2 linked regions of the Xenopus tropicalis genome follow. The protein of the gene in region 1 purifies or fractionates together with the protein of each later gene. This does not show direct contact. Links are inferred from orthologs where the notes say so. Each region holds a gene or a part of one and is shown on either strand. Other genes may lie near its edges.

What was found.
Region 2: the proteins of lrch3 (region 1) and sugt1 purify together in Homo sapiens (co-immunoprecipitation; 3 studies listed by BioGRID and IntAct, counting the BioPlex papers as one, with this or other methods). This does not show direct contact. The link is inferred for Xenopus tropicalis from reciprocal best matches to the Homo sapiens genes LRCH3 and SUGT1.

Annotation. Positions count from the first base shown.
Region 1 is NC_030681.2:100,457,531-100,461,356, forward strand, and holds part of lrch3 (DISP complex protein LRCH3), read left to right. Parts: intron 1-3,703; coding exon 3,704-3,826. UniProt on the Homo sapiens protein: As part of the DISP complex, may regulate the association of septins with actin and thereby regulate the actin cytoskeleton.
Region 2 is NC_030678.2:132,190,684-132,194,909, reverse strand, and holds the end of sugt1 (protein SGT1 homolog), read left to right. Parts: intron 1-3,150; coding exon 3,151-3,252; 3' UTR 3,253-3,601; downstream 3,602-4,226. UniProt on the Homo sapiens protein: May play a role in ubiquitination and subsequent proteasomal degradation of target proteins.

The sequences.
Region 1 (3,826 bases):
TCGGTAAGCAGAATCTGATGTTTATCTCACTTTATCTTCCCCAAGAGTAATGGACTGCATTAGGTCTACCTCCACTCCTTTTGGGGCAAAAAATGCCCGGCCATCTACTGCATATGTGCACAGGGACATCTGAAAAAAAAGAATGGGTGTGTGTGAAGCTTTTTTTCTTCTGGGTCAGTGATTTTGTTGTCAAGTCTGCTGTTTACTATGGATCTTGGGAAGCTCTTATCCTGCAATTAATCGCAAAGCCCTTAGTGGGGTCTGAAGGAGGGTATATGCCACCCACAAGTGCTAAGCCACCTATACCAGAAAGGAACACATGCTTGCACATAATAAACAATTGCCTCATGCGCATGGCTGCCTATAAGGGTCAATTTACTATGGATAGATCCCAAATGGATAGTGATCCCATAGTGCTAAAGTATGTTCCCTAATAAAAAATAGATTCCTGATATGTGTCTATGAAGATTTTCATTCATCCAGGTCATGGTATATCTAGTATAAATAAATTTAAAGCAACTGGACTTGTTAAGTAATCATTGAAGACGTTTCACTACTCATCCGAGCAGCTTCTTCAGTTCAACTGACTGGTATGGGAAGTCCTCAGCATATATACTCTTCCACTAATTCCTGATATGTGTTTTGCTTCAATACAAGGAGCTTTAACGAAGGCATGATTTTTTTCCATCTAATACTCGGCTAACAGTGTTTCACTGGTTCCCAAGTTCTTGTGGATCAACCCAGTATGGCCCATCTTCTGGGTACTTCTTAATATCTGCCTTTTTCTGACCAAGCCAAAGTAGTGGATCTTTTTATTTGTGTGTATGTATACCGTTGTGTCTTAGAAAGTGTGCCTTGGCTAGAGTTTTAAAAAGTATTTTCTATTATAGTGCAAGTTTATTCTACTTAATGGAATACATTTTTAAAGCAAAATGGACGTATTCTGTTTCAAAGCATGTCAAAGATCAAGTTTCAATATATATATATGAATTTTATCATTTCTATTTGGGTTTTATAGTACTAAAACACTTTTTTGTCTACGTTTTGAAGCAATTTATTTTTCTTCAGATTTTTCTTGCTGTGTATTAAAAAAACCATAGTTTATTTCATCTCATGCAGCATTGTAGAGATGAAATATGGGTTCATATACAGGAGTATCCGAGCCAAAAACATCAAAAATTTGAAATTATGAATATGTAATTCCCACAAATATTGAATATACATATGTGTCATAGTGCCAAGACAGCCTTTTTTATGGTTTGTAATGGTGCATGAGACTTTCTTTGCTTTTGCAATAGCATAGCAACATGCTTTACCCATAGTGTTAACTTTTTTTCTTCGTAAAGCTCTACCTTTCATGGCAAGCCCATATAGCACAAAAAAATCAAGATTTTCTTACCAGAAAATCCTTTTCTCATAGGCCCATACTGTCAGTGCAGGACAACTGGGATTAGGTTGCTCCTCTCTGCAGGATGGACTCTTCCTTCTCATCCTCTTCCTTTGTCTCCACCTATCGACAGTTTTGTTTAGTTTGTCCTGGCAGCAATAATTCTTCTTCTACATATTATTCAGTCTTATTCACTGGATTTAAAATTCTGCTCTCAGGTAGAGCTAAGGATGATTGCAGGAAGTATGTAATCAGGTTTAGTCCACAGTGCACCCCCATATACTAACAATTCTTGAACCCAGAGTGCTTCCTCCTGAAGAGGTATCCCCTGACTTGGTTGAGCCCTTACAATACTCTGAGTTCTGCTATGAAGTGTTCCCCCCTGTTGGTTGAGCCACTGCAACAGTGTGCTCCCCATGATTCATTATGATTGACCCCTTACGAACATTCTATCAAGGACAATTGCTTAATGGTGTGCTTCCCATGGGGTAGAGCCCCAAACCCCTTGCATGCTCCCAACTTTGCTGGAATCGGGTGAGCTCTATACCACACTGTTATGCTAAATTTGGCTGCCATCTTGCTACTCCCACTGAAGCGAACTGTACTCTCAAGCGGAGTAGTCAGTATGCAGCAGCCATCTTGGTACTCAAGATGACGTCACTGCACAAATTTCTGGCACCGGGACACAACGTCTTTGCGTTACGCAGGAGCAAAGACAAGAGTTGCAGTACAAATTCTCTGGTGCTTATTTACAGCATCATTAACCTCCACTCTGGCATCTGCTGATGAGGAAATACTCTCCCTCACTGAAGATATTGACCTGACTGACAAACCTTGTAAGTTAAAAGCCAAGGTCAGAAAAAAGCAAACGCAAGGAGCGCTCAAGGTCTCCTTCCCCTAACTCAGATTCTTTGGCAAGCCCTTGCCAAGTTACAACTCAGGCACAAGTACATGCACCTCGGGAGATTTTTTCTCATACTGTAGGTGATACAGCCCCAGATGTTAAAGAGACCATACAAAACCCTGCAGTACAGCCACAAGATCTACAAGGTTTCTTTGAATTCCTATCCTGGTTCCAAACTACTATACAAACAACTTTACACCAGACAGTATAAGCTCAGGCACAGCAACTGCCATCTATATAAAGAGCACCTAAGCTTCACAAACCTAAATCACTAAGCCACTCCTTCATAGCTTCTGAAGAAAGTAAATCATCTACTTTAGAGGAAAATGCTTCTGCACAATGGCAACTCACTTCAACACATGACTGCCTCGCTTCATGACCAGGATGAAGGACCATCAAGGGGAAAGGTGTAAATAAACTGCCCTTCCCAGGGTGCAACTAGTGCATCTGCACTCTCCGTATCATTTCAATCGCAATGGGCTCTAATGCCCAAGGTTTGGCAGTACTTCCAGACGCTTCACTCACCCCACAAAGAACCCTTTACCCCCGTGGGACCTCAATTTTGTCCTCTCTGCATTCAAAAACCACACTTTAAACCAATGGCTTTGGTGCACATCAAGTTCATCACTTGCAAGGTAGTTCTGTTAGTGGCCTTGTGCTTCGCTACCAGAGTCTCGTACAGGGGTGTTTCTTGCCCCTTAAGGCGGCTCCTCTGATGCCACGCCCCTTGCCCCCTTCCCCCCCCCAGGCTTATATCGCAGTGGACAGAGAGACGCCTTTACACTTGAAAGCCCATTCCACAGAGAACTGAGCAACATCTTGGACATTACACAACCAGACACCCCTGGACATGATCTGCAAAGCAACCCAATGGAGTTCACCTCACACCTTTTCAAAGATTTACAAATTGGATGTCTTGGCATCAGCAGATACAGTTTTTGGTAGAAAGCTGGGTACTACGGCAGTCGTAGGCATCTAATTCTGAGTTAGTGTTATGAGTTAGTAGTTCCCCCCCATTTTTTTGATGGCTTGGGTACATCCCCAGTTGTTCTGCACTGACAGGGCTGTACAGAGAAAGGAAGATTTTTTTTTACCAGAAAATCATTTTCTCGTAGGCCCGTACCATCAGTAGTGCAGCATCCCACCCAATGGCAGGGGTGTCGGGAATTTTCTTTTGCTGCTTAGTTACCGTAGGTTAGTTAAACTAGTTAGGGTTATTTTCTCTATCTCTACTGGCACCTTAATAATAATAGTTTGTTAATGTATATACCTCATTCACCTTTTGATTTTTATTTAATTGTTCCCAAAAGAGGCTGAATGTAATGTATGAATGTTTGAGCTGTGCTCTGTAAGGAAACAAAGGCCAGTGTTTTGTATTACTAAATACTCAAATTTTATTTCATTCTGTTTAGAACTTGCAGAACTGCCACTAGTCCGCTTGGATTTTTCCTGTAATAAAGTTACTTGTATTCCGGTGTGTTATCGAAACTTAAGGCACCTCCAGACCATCATGCTTGATAACAATCCTCTGCAGT
Region 2 (4,226 bases), on another chromosome or scaffold:
ATTGATTGAGAAAAGGAAACATGTTTTGCATAGCTTTTCTTCCTGAGTTAAATAATGGCATTCTCTTGGCCGAGAGGCACTTTGCTTGGTAAAGCAGGCACGTGTGGTATCCCTGGTATAACACTTATGCATAGAAATAAGGCTCCCTGTGCAGAATAAATGACTTTGGGGGTTTTCAGTACACATTAATAGGAAAATGATATCCTTTCTCAGATATGGTGTATTGCTCCTTTCAGAGGGAGAACCAACAAATGTACAGTAAATGCATGTATCTGGATTACATGAAGGCTCATGTGGGAAGAGAAGAAGAGATATATATATATTTATGTTTGTCACCGCTGCTCTATTTTAGACATTTTAAAGATTATTATTGGGCTCATGTTCATAACTGTGGATTATCTATTTAAATGCAGTGACACCATGAGGAACCTGGGTATGTAAGAATTTGCACCTACTATTGGGGCATCCCACACAGGCTGCTTCTTTACAACAACTGACCAATTGGCAAAGAGAAAGATGTGGTATAAGATTTTTTTTACCCCTGGAAATTCTTGCTCTTCCCCCAGAATTGCAGAGTCTTTATGTATCTTTATGTATACAATACAAACTGTATATTATACTCAAGGGAAGTAAGAACAATTGAGTGTAATTAGTGAAATTAAAACTCCATTATTTTCAGTGTGTACATTTGGGCTGTAGTTAAAGTAGTGGTTCACCTTTATTTTAACTTTTATTTTGGTATAGAATGGCCAATTCTAAGTGACCTTTCAATTGGTCTTCATTATTTGTTATAGTTTTTGAATTATTTGTCACCATCTTTCAACTCTTTGCAGTTTTTAAATGGGGGTCACTGAAAAAACTATTGCTCTGTGAGGCTCCAGTTTTATGGTTATTGTTACTTGTAACTTTCTTTTCTATTCAGTCCCTCTTTTATTCATCCAAACCACCCCCTGGTTGCTAAGGTAACTTGGACCCTAGCAACCAAAATAGCTGCTGAAACGCCAAACTGGAGAGCTACTGAACTGCGCCTAATGATGCAGGCAGGACCTCGAACCTACCATCAACTCCTGACTGTAATGTAGCTCCAGGGTTCCCTTTGTGCCCAGCGTCAATAGGCACATTTAATTTACACACAAAAAATCGAGCGCAAGTGTCACTCACATGTGGAACACAGGAATGGCAGCAGGCAGACTTCCTTGTGATTGCATCTACTCTGTGACAAAATGCACACATAGTTGCGTTCATTTTGGTGAATCTGGCGCAATTGCACCCTTGGGGACTACATTGGCATTGGAATTCTGGGGCAAAAAACCTGTGCTGTGGGGAGAAAAACCATGGCAATTGCACTTTGAAAACTGCACTCACAGTTGTAAACGAGCCCTGTACTCTTTGGATCAAATTAAGCATAAATCCTTTGCTACCTCCTTAGTTACTAGCAGTCATAGTAATGCCTTCCCATTGTCCTGTACAATCCCCCACCCCCAGGAGCCCACTATCAACCCTGGCAGTGGGTATTCAAGAGCCCAAAGATTAAGCTGCTCCCTGTCATTGCCTACTGGCCATTACCCCCATTACTGTGGGACCCTGTAAGCTGCTCACATGTTATTTATATTGTGCCACTCACAATATTTGCAGCATTTGGGAACTGTTCCCTCACACTCAACCTGCTCATCAAGATCTTATATACCTGTTTAGCCCTGCCTTTATGAGTAGATTGAATAAACCTGTTACATACTAGCAGCTGCTTCTGTTAGATATTAGCTCCTAAGGAATGACACTTCCATGTAATTTTGCCCTGGCCAGTAGAGTTCAGCCGAAGGGGTGTGCCATGGCCCTTATGGCAGCTTGAAATCATTTAAAGGAAAAATAAACCCTAAAAATGAATATGGCACAAGATTCGGGGCTACTGGAGGCATCTAATGAGGCACAGATTGTCACTTGGGCTGTACAAAAGCTTTGTTGTCATATTCTTTTCTCCCATCAGAGAACATAAATGTATTTGCAAATAATACTTCACTCTTGCTATTCATTTTGTCCCGTGTGTAATGGTTGTGTGTGTGTGTGTGTGTGTATATATATATAAATATATATATATATATAATTCCCTCTATGTTCCCAATCTTTTGCTGTTTCTCCTATAATAGAATAGCATTGAACATAATTAGAACCAATTTTGATTTTATAAAGGTTGAGATAAAATACAATTTATGTGTTACATTTATTTATGTTCTCCCTTCTGTGTTTTATCATCTTGATTTCATTCTGTACTGACAAATCCTATGGTACCTATCGGTTTCATAAGAGGAAGGAAGGCAAAATGATGTGTGTGGCTCATAAAAACTGAAGGAAATGAATTTCGTACTTGAAATACAGGTTTTCCCAGGACTGCAATTTTAGCAGCTTCTGAATTGAAAAATGACTGATGCAGAAAAGAAAATTAACATAATCTTTCTGTGCAATGAAATCCTGCTAGCTCTGTTTAATGAAAATCCAATGTGACTAATAACCATTAAAGAGGGCTTCATTTTTCCCATCATGCTCCTCAAGACTGTATATTTATTCAATGGAAAACAACTTTCTATCAGGTAGAGGAGTTGTTTCCAGTTAGATGTAGTTCTGGCACTGGGAGCAGCTAGGGGGGCGCCTTCAAAATGTCGTACATTAAACTCACACTCGCTTAGGGAATTCTTAAACTCTACTCATGTCCTGAGTCCGTATTCAGACACACTAACCCCATAGTAGTCAGTGAGATCAGTAATAAAGCTAATAATCTCTCAAAAGAGAGAGGCTGCATCTTGCCAGATGGTCTCAGATATTTCCATTTATCTGACTAGTTAAACAGTCCCTATAGCTCCATGTTTTATCTTCCTTTTCCTTACAACATGTAAAATCTCTATTTTATGCTTTTCTCTGTTTTGTTGTTTAAACATTGATTTTTTGCAATGTTCAACTGCCGTTATGTCTTAGGGTCCTTCCTTATTACACCCATTGCCCTCCTGCAGTGTTACATGCCTCTGACGAGACCAGAGGAATGGCTTAGCGCTTCAGCAGGAGGGGGGGCATTAAGGCTTTTATGAGTTTATACCTCACACCTCATAGTGTGAAAGGACAAGTTAGATTTGGCATTGACAGTCACCTTTTCTTTTACAGATGGAGTCAGGAGGAACCGTGCTGAGCACCAACTGGACAGATGTGGGCAAGAAGAAAGTAGACGTAAATCCCCCAGATGATATGGAATGGAAACAATACTAGTTATCCTGCTGCAGTCCGTACGTTTATTGAAGCAGTCTGATGCACAACAAGCTGATGAGACATCACTCCTTACCTTTTGCGCCCTTTCTTTTCCCAGAATGCTAATTGTTTGCTGCTTCCATTAAATGTTGCACAAAGTGAATGAAATGACAAGCGAGCCTAATCCTTTATTCCTGTTTTGTTAGGAGCCAGCCCTGTAGTATGTATATAGTGATTTCTGATGCACATTCACTCAGATAACTTATTGGCCGGAGGTGCAGCTCTCCTGTCAGCTTGTTGGAAATCTTTCTCACTGACCCACTCTTGGCCTTTTTATCAACTGCAAATTATAAATATACTTTTTCAATGATTTGTTGGTGCTTTATTGATACAAAGGTGCTGAAGATGCTGCCTGCACTCTGTCGCACACATGTGGGGTTAGAGGCGTATGTGTTAGTAATGTGAATGGCTGTTGTGTTTCATTTGCTTGTCCTGCTGGAGGCACGATGGCTGGCTGACGTGACTGCAATTATTCACCATAGGAGAGGCACAGTCCCTATACATCCTTTGTTTGTCAGAGAATACGCTAATGTTGATGAAAAGACCAACCAAATGCTGCCACCAACAAAGTATTACAATCTATGGCAGTATTCTGGTCATTGTGCAAGATCATGCTCTGGGCAAGCTGACGCCATTTAGATGTTTTTGAATACTCTGTTTAGATTAGGGCCAATAGTTCAGTAACATGTCAAGGACTAATTGGTTCCCATACTTATATAATTAGCTACTATTTAAATGCTCACCATGATATTTCATAAACTAAAATAAGCAGGGGCTAGTTAGACAGTAATAGTAGGGCAAGCACAAGATAAGGCCCAATAGCACATTATTAGTAAACCCCACTTCTATGTAAGGCCCTACCTGCCAGTTAAATAGCATATTATCAGTAAGCCCAGTTTTAAAAGCACAAGCCTAGTGCACACTTGTCAGTCAGT